Callithrix jacchus: one gene and its partner. The protein of the gene in region 1 binds, or shares a complex with, the protein of each later gene. Links are inferred from orthologs where the notes say so. Each region holds a gene or a part of one and is shown in the gene's direction. Other genes may lie near its edges.

What was found. Proteins that work in one complex are often made in the same cells at the same time.
Region 2: the proteins of XIRP2 (region 1) and NEBL are in contact, whole or in part, in a crystal structure (PDB 4F14), measured with the Homo sapiens proteins. The link is inferred for Callithrix jacchus from reciprocal best matches to the Homo sapiens genes XIRP2 and NEBL. Residues at the interface, in NP_689594.4 of Homo sapiens: Pro2420, Pro2421, Pro2422, Thr2423, Leu2424, Pro2425, Lys2426, Pro2427; in NP_006384.1 of Homo sapiens: Tyr963, Asp964, Tyr965, Asp969, Asp971, Glu972, Ile987, Asp988, Asp989, Gly990, Trp991, Met1004, Pro1006, Asn1008, Tyr1009.

Annotation. Positions count from the first base shown.
Region 1 is NC_133507.1:62,424,014-62,428,228, reverse strand, and holds the start of XIRP2 (xin actin-binding repeat-containing protein 2), read left to right. Parts: upstream 1-1,391; 5' UTR 1,392-1,551; intron 1,552-4,215.
Region 2 is NC_133508.1:21,399,917-21,403,571, reverse strand, and holds part of NEBL (nebulette), read left to right. Parts: intron 1-630; coding exon 631-723; intron 724-2,285; coding exon 2,286-2,390; intron 2,391-3,377; coding exon 3,378-3,549; intron 3,550-3,655. UniProt on the Homo sapiens protein: Binds to actin and plays an important role in the assembly of the Z-disk. May functionally link sarcomeric actin to the desmin intermediate filaments in the heart muscle sarcomeres.

The DNA of each region.
Region 1 (4,215 bases):
CTATGTTGAAATCCTGTGATTTAAATCACTATTGTCCAATAGACTGTTCTGCAATGTTGGAAACATTTTGTATCTGCACTAATACATAGCTACTGTCCACATGTGGAGACTGATTTGCTTGAAATGTAGCTGAAGAAATAAATTTTTAATTTTACCTAATTTTAATAAATTAAAATTTAAATGGCCACATGTGCCTAATAGCAATCATACTTTGAAGCAGAACTCTAAATGGTCTTTACTGGCTCCTGGCCCTGAACACTTTGTGGAGTATATAGAACACTATTTCAGAAACTTGTTCTTAGAGTTAATATGCTAGAATATCACTTCTTGACCTACTTTTAACAAAAACCAATATTGTATATGGAAAAATGTAATATACCTACTGATTGGTTAATAATATAGTAAACAGCTTACAAATAGGCATTTTATATGAGATAAAAGGTATATAGGTCAAATTTTTTTTAGCCAAAGGACAATTTCCTTTCTTTATTTGAGTTTGTTGTTAGATCACACCATACTAGGCAAGTCATAGAAGGGAGGAAAGATAAAGGAAGCTGGTTATTTTCTATTTACTGAGAAGGTACGAGATGTTGGCATTTTTGAGCCAAACAGCAATGCTCACTGGGTTCTGGGTCAGATTGGCAGCGTGTGCTTGGTAAGTCCTGGCAGCAAAGAACATTTAATATGTTTCTTTCAAGAGCATGTGAGGTGACTCCTTTTCCCGGCCTGCTCTTCCTCACGCTGAATGATTTAAAGCTAGGATTAATGAGCAGGACTCATACCGCAAGGGTGCTCTCTATTCTCTCTAGAATGTCTTTCCACCATTCTTCCTTTGCTTTTTTAAACTAACCCAGCACAGTCTTTACTTAAGTTAGCACTGGAGTAGCATTTTGCTTTATATGTGAAGTCTGACAAAACAAACTAATGTTTTACATATCTATGAACACATTGTCAAAAAAAAGCAATGTGTCCTCTTCACGAGAACCCCTGTTAATTATTCCACCAGAATAAATTGAAACTTTTTCCACCTGCTTTATTTTCATATTCTTGAGTCTTAAAAGATTGAAAGTTAAAAAAAATGCAAGTAATTCTGGGATGTTAATTCCTCCTTTTCCTCACTGGCACTGGTTCATTTGTAGACTTTGGACAGAAGTTCAGAGTTGGCTGGTGGTCGTGACTGCCAAAGAGAGTTTGATTGACTGCACATGTGTTAGAGCCACGCATACATTACTGAGGACACTATGAGGCAGAGTGGCCTCAGAGACACTTGTCTGAAAAGAGTACTTGACTCAGGCCCCACCTATACAGAGCTCAGTTACTAAAAATAGGTGCTAAGTTGCATCCTTTAGAAGCGCTGCTAAAATAAATTCAGCCGTCCCCTCTACTTGCTTGATAGACCCTTCAGTGGAGCGGGCCTCCACTGCACCCATTGCTTTCAGGGGACTGGGAAATTTGCTGTATATGAAACAAGGGAGGAAGCTAGTCTGTGAAGAACTATAAAGATTTAGGATACTTCCGCAAGCTTGGGGTTAAACCTAAATATCATAAAAGGTAAGTGTAATATAGTCGGTGACTATGTGTCTGCTTCCTGGATTGTAAAATGGTCTTGCTGGTCAGAAGACCATAGGTCAAATTGTAATTATTATAAAAGAAAATATCCAATTGGATTGTGCCTGTATGATAATATTTAGCATTGATTTAACAGGATAAAAATTTTGAGCTTCATATGTTCATCTCTTGGCAGAATAGCATTTTTCATATTTAATATTGAAGAATAATGAGCCAAACTTGATAAACAGTCATGAGTTAAAATTCTACTTCAACTTACAAATAGAAGGGAAGGCAGAGAAAAAATTAGTTTGCCACTTATGGGCAGAAATGAAATGAACATATTAAAAAATATAAATCGTATTTCACAGAATTTGTTGAGAAAGAGTTTACAACATTTTCAACTGTTGTAGCTTGCTCAGAGAAATGCATGAACATTATCGTTTTCCAGCCTTACTTTGCTTTTGTGGTTCTTGCTCCAGCCAGAGTCTCATCTCCTCTGGGAGTATTACTGGAGTAAGATTAAAGAATCAGGTTCTTACATGTTTTGCAGAATTAAGAAAAGCACTGCCAGTTGGGTCTGCCAGTCCTAATTATAGTAACTACAACCTTAAATAGAGAAGACTGAGATTTTACTTTAAAGATATCCTGCCCTATACACTGTTTCAAATGGATTTTTTTTTCTCTCTTCGATTGCCTGTGAGCACTTTAATTTGGTCCTATTGTGTCTTAAGTGTTTAGACGTTAGAGACTGAAGTGATTTGGGAGAGACATTTTAACAGAATCTCTTAAGACACCAACTAAAAGCAAGGACACTTTAAGATTACATAATACAGGGTTTTAATTTAGCCAGCTGGTGCTGAACCAAAAGATATTTTATTTTTACCAGTGCTCTATTTGGTCACTGACAAGCTGTAGATTGTTTGAATTATTTTAAAATTTTATGTGCAGTGTGTCAAAGAACAGGCAAAATATTTACCTTGGTGAGATTCATAGCCATGAATTTTAATATGAAAGAGCACCTGTTTTGAGTTTTAGAAGATAAGATTATTGAGTGCAAAAGTATTGGGTCAGAAATGAGAAAACGCTGAATTCTATGCTTAAGTATTTCTCTGTTCCTCTGCCTAATTTTTGCGTATTTTTTCTTCTGGCTAGCAACGTGTAAGCTAACAACTAGACCCACCCGTTTCTGAAAGTCAGTCCTCATTTCAGATGGCTGCACTGGCAAAGTACCAGTTGTTTGGGAAAAATGCAGTCTGGAGTTTGGGCTAAATATTTCTGCTTTCATCTTGTGTTGTGCACCTTTAAGATATAGCTTCCCTTAACCACCTGAAAAATAAAATGAGACATTCTTTTATGATCTCAGAGGGCTTTACTTGGGAAAATGTTCATAGAAAACTGTCAGTTCAGACATCATTTTATCTGTGATTACAGTGGAAGAGGACAGTGTTGCCTTTCTTCAGCTTTAATTTGGGGTTAAAATCCCACAAAGTTCATGGATAATGTACTGTTGTTCACAGTTGATACCTTCCCTCTATTCTATCAGTTCCAGCCTCTCACTTTACCTTTACCATGTTTAAAACTTTCTTCACCTTAGTATTCTTATTACTTACTCAGTAAAATACTACTTACAATGAGGCAATGTGGAGTTGGACACTCCTGGTAATGTCAATACTAGGAACTGATCTCTCTCTCTCTCTCTCTCTCTCTCTCTCTCTCACACACACACACACACACACACACACACACATACACACACACACACACACACATACACAAACACAACTCAGGGTATTAAAGAGACCATTTTGTAAGCCTTGTTTGATTGCTAGGAGTCATGTCTAGATTTAGTAATTTATAAAGCAGGGCAGACTCTTAATAAGTGCCCAGCCTATAATTCCAATATTTTTTATTAAACAATCTGTGAAGACAGAACTTAATTGACATTATATTGTCTTTTTTATTTTCTTCCCACCTCCTCTTATGAAAGCACTGAAGCTACACTCTGAAATTTAATTAAATTGTAATGTGTTTCTTCCTGCTTCTGAAACAAACACTTGCTCATTCAAATCATAGGTTCACCCCTCACAGAACAGTAACGTCAATTTTTAAATTAATTAATGACTTCTTTAGAGCACTGATTTATTCCATATAGGTGCATGTTGTTTATATGACTGTGTGGCATGTTGTATTATCTGTTTCCTGACACTAATTCTGATATTAAGTGTTGTGTCTTTTACAACATTAGCCAATTCTCTAAGTCTCTGACACCAACAGGCTGTCATTCAGTTCTGACACTAGATCTAGAGCTTGGCAAAGACTCCACACGTAGAAGGCTCAGTCCCATAAGGCTGCCTACTTCAGAAGACAACCACTAATGGAGTGCCCAGGCCACTAATCTTTCTGCCCATCTAACTAGTGATTAAGGGACCCTCACAACCCCCTCCTCAGATAATTCGCTAGAATGGCTCACGGAACTCAGAAAAATATTCTATTTGTTATTACTGTTATATTATAGAGGAACAGACAGATGGAAGAGATGCATAAGGCAAGGTGTGGTATTGAAGGGCAGAAGCACACAGCTACCTTGCTTTCTCCTAACAAGCCATCCCCAGCACCTGGGTGCCTTCATCAATCTGGCAGCTCACCAAGCCCTGTCCTTTAGGA
Region 2 (3,655 bases), on another chromosome or scaffold:
AAGAAACCATGGCCATATAGTATGAGTCTACGGTGAATACTTTTAAGTAATATCCATGAAGACATTTCTTCTCATTTCTTTTGTGATTAAATGCTTATTATAACTTTACTGATGGTATGCCTATATATTTGAGTACATCCAAAGTGATTTGGACATGTGTACTCTTTTATGGGAGGAAACGAAATAGATTGATTTAAGATGCTGGCATTTTAAATACGACTCGACCTCTGAAAATGTCTTCATTTTTTGCAGTTTCCTACAAAAGTTTCTTGGTTAATGCATTAAACTAAATACTATGAGCCAGGCACGGTGCCTCTGGATTGTCATCCCAGCACCTTGAGAGGCTGAAGTGGATGAATTACTTGAGCCCAGGAGTTTCAGATCAGTTTGGACAATATGGCGAAAGTCCATCTCTACAAAAATACAAAAATTAGCCAGGCCCATAATCTCAGCTACCTCGGAGGCTGAGGTGGGAGGATTGCCTGGGCCTGGGAGGTCAAGGCTGTGGTGAGCAGAGATTGCACCACCGCACTTCAGCCTGGGTGACAGAGCAAGACCCTGTCTTAAATAAATAAGTCTCTTAGTCGAATTGATTCACAGTAGTCTATTTTTTGTTCTCTGAAATGATAGGTTTATTACAAAGCTCAGCTGGGAAGAGCTACTGCTTTAAGTGTAACCCCTGAAATGGAAAGAGTGAAGAAGAACCAAGAAAATATTAGCTCGGCAAGTGGTTTTCTTCATTTTAGACTATCACAAAGGATGTGTCTTTTACTATTTACTTGCAGTCCTCTTTTGCTTGTGAAAAGAAACTTTATTTTCAAGAAACATCTGTGGTATGTCCAATAAATACATGTGTTATTTCAGATGATGTCCAAAAGCTGCCACTGCGTACATTTACATTCTCTTGCAACTCTTTGGTATTTCCAGATGTGACCAAGAGTTACATTCAAAGCTTTGTTTAGAAGTGTTTGTTTAAACAGCGATTTATGCTGTTTTAGCCAGTGTCTTTGAAAGTGATAACGCCTTTGATGTGTGCATTAAATAATTGTCGTTTTACTGAAATATTTCGATGAATGTGTATTGTCAAATGCTGTCTGCAAAACAGAATAGGAGGTGAATACTTTTACTAAAGACTTAGAGAAAAAAATCCTTAAATACATTTAACATAGAATTTAGTTGCTCATTAAAGTCCAGTGGTGCATATTAGCATCTTATTTGAATATTGTGCTTCCTCTTAGTGAATATCAGAGCTTCAATTCTGAATTGGACACAATGCCCTCAGGTCAACATAAGTGGTATCCAAATCTTACACCTAATCAGTTTCATAAATGGCAGTGTTCTGATGGGCAGCTGTTAAGAACACAGGCCCTTTTCTTAGCACACCTTGAATAGCTGTTTGCCTGAGAATCAGCATTTGGCCTTTGCAGTTTACAGCTTCCTAGTGGCATGTCTGTCCAGAGATGCTGTGTGTATTTAACATAAATTACTTTTAAGTTGTGTCTGCTTAGAAGAACAACGAAATTTGTTCCTCATTGCTTCTTACTCTCTAAGCAGAGAAGAAATGAAAAGAAATAGAGAGTAGGTTGTATGCATTTTTCAATAGTGTTATGGTAGAAAATGGGGAAATTTAGAAACAAAATAACTTTGGGTTCTGTTTAATAGTTTTGGATTTTCTCTGTTTAACTTAAATATGATAACCAGTTGTGTGTGTGTGTGTGTGTGTGTGTGTGTGTTTGAGTTTGAGACACAGTCTTTGTTGGAGGCTGGAGTGCAATAGCACAATCATAGCTCATTGCAGCTTTGAATTTTTGGGCTCAAGCAGCTGCCCTGTCTTAACCTCTCTAGTAGCTGGGACTACAGGCACAAGCCCAACTAATTTTTAAAAAAATTTTTACTTGTAGAGTTGGGGAACCTCACGATGCCTCCCAGACTGGTCTCAAACCCCAGGCCTGGAGTAATCCTCCCACCTTAGCTTTCCAGAGTTCCGTAATTACAGGCATGAGCCACTGGGCCTGCCCAGTTTTACAGATTAGATAGTTACTCTTGATCATTCACACATTTGTTTTCAGTTGATAGATTTAGGTCATTTTGCAATAGGTGTTAAAGGCGATCTTTGAGTGTAAAATTTGAGTTTTGCTATTCTAGAACAAAATTTAATTCACTGAAAAAGTGACCTGGAAAATAATTTCAAGTATGTTGCATATGTTTCCCTCATTCATAAAGCTTAAAAAAGTTATATCCTGCGTTTTCCTTTCATTGCCTTATGTCTACTATTTACTTTTCAGGTAAAATATACCCAGGACCATAAACAGATGAAAGGTAGACCAAGTCAGATGTTAGATACACCTGCTATGAGACATGTTAAAGAAGCACAAAATCGTATTTCAATGGTAGGGTGCAACCAGATCATTCTTCTCATGACTAAAGCATGCTAAGGAATGGCCGGACCCAGTGAACTGATGGCATTACTTCACTATTAATCTGATAACTAACAAAGCATGGAAACGCAGTCGGCCTGACCTTCGTGTGTGTGTGGGGTGGGGGCTGCATTTCTAATCACACTGAAATGTAATGGAAATATTTGGTCTAATAAAATCATTTTTCTCAGTGACTTTTTCTGGCGTGTCTTTGTTTCTAATGTGAGTATTATAAACGCATTATATGAAAGACTTTTCTGTAGACTTCTTTCCATTTAATTTTAAGACAGAATTTGGTCTGTTTGCATGTCAAAAAGAATATGAAAAAAAGTGTGTTTTTAAAAAATTATAATATCGGGTGTAATTCACCTACCATAAAGTTTGCCCATTTAAAGTGTTCAATTCAGTGGTTTCTAGTATAATTTACAGTTATACAACTGTCTCCTGGACCTAATTTCAGGATGTGAAAATAGTATATTTTGAAGTATAAGTTTTGTAATTATATTAAAAATTGTGTATATCATAACCTATAAAATTTTAAACTAATTTTAAATAATGCCATTTTCATAAATGATTGTCTGGAAATTGATATCACTTTATTGTATATTGAAGGTTAAGAGATAGGAAATTTAATTTATACTTGTTAGTATATTTTAGGTAGTAACCAGGATTTGAGAATATGTATCTTTTACAACCTCTCACTAATAATATATGTAGTTTTGTATATAATTTAAAATAGATATGAGCTATAATGATTAAAAACATTGTGAAAATATCAGCATTTGATTTCAGATGCTAAGAAACTGAAGCTTCAGACTGTGGTTTTGGAATATTTGGAAAAGATACATACATGTAGAAAATCTGCATGCAGCCAGTACAGTGTACACCTGTCATTTAATCAAAATGTCATGAGATAGGTGACTATCAGCAACTTTCAGCATGATGATTTTTCCTCTTCAGGTAAAATACCATGAAGATTTTGAAAAGACAAAGGGGAGAGGCTTTACTCCTGTTGTGGACGATCCTGTGACAGAGAGAGTGAGGAAGAACACCCAGGTGGTCAGCGATGCTGCCTATAAGGGGGTCCACCCTCACATCGTGGAGATGGACAGGAGACCTGGAATCATTGTTGGTAAGCTGACGGTCTTTCTCGGCAGGTGTGTGTGGTCAAAAAGATTGTGCTTGCTCTAGCTTCAGAATTATCCTCTTTAGTTGTCTGACTCCTCATCACATGTTGG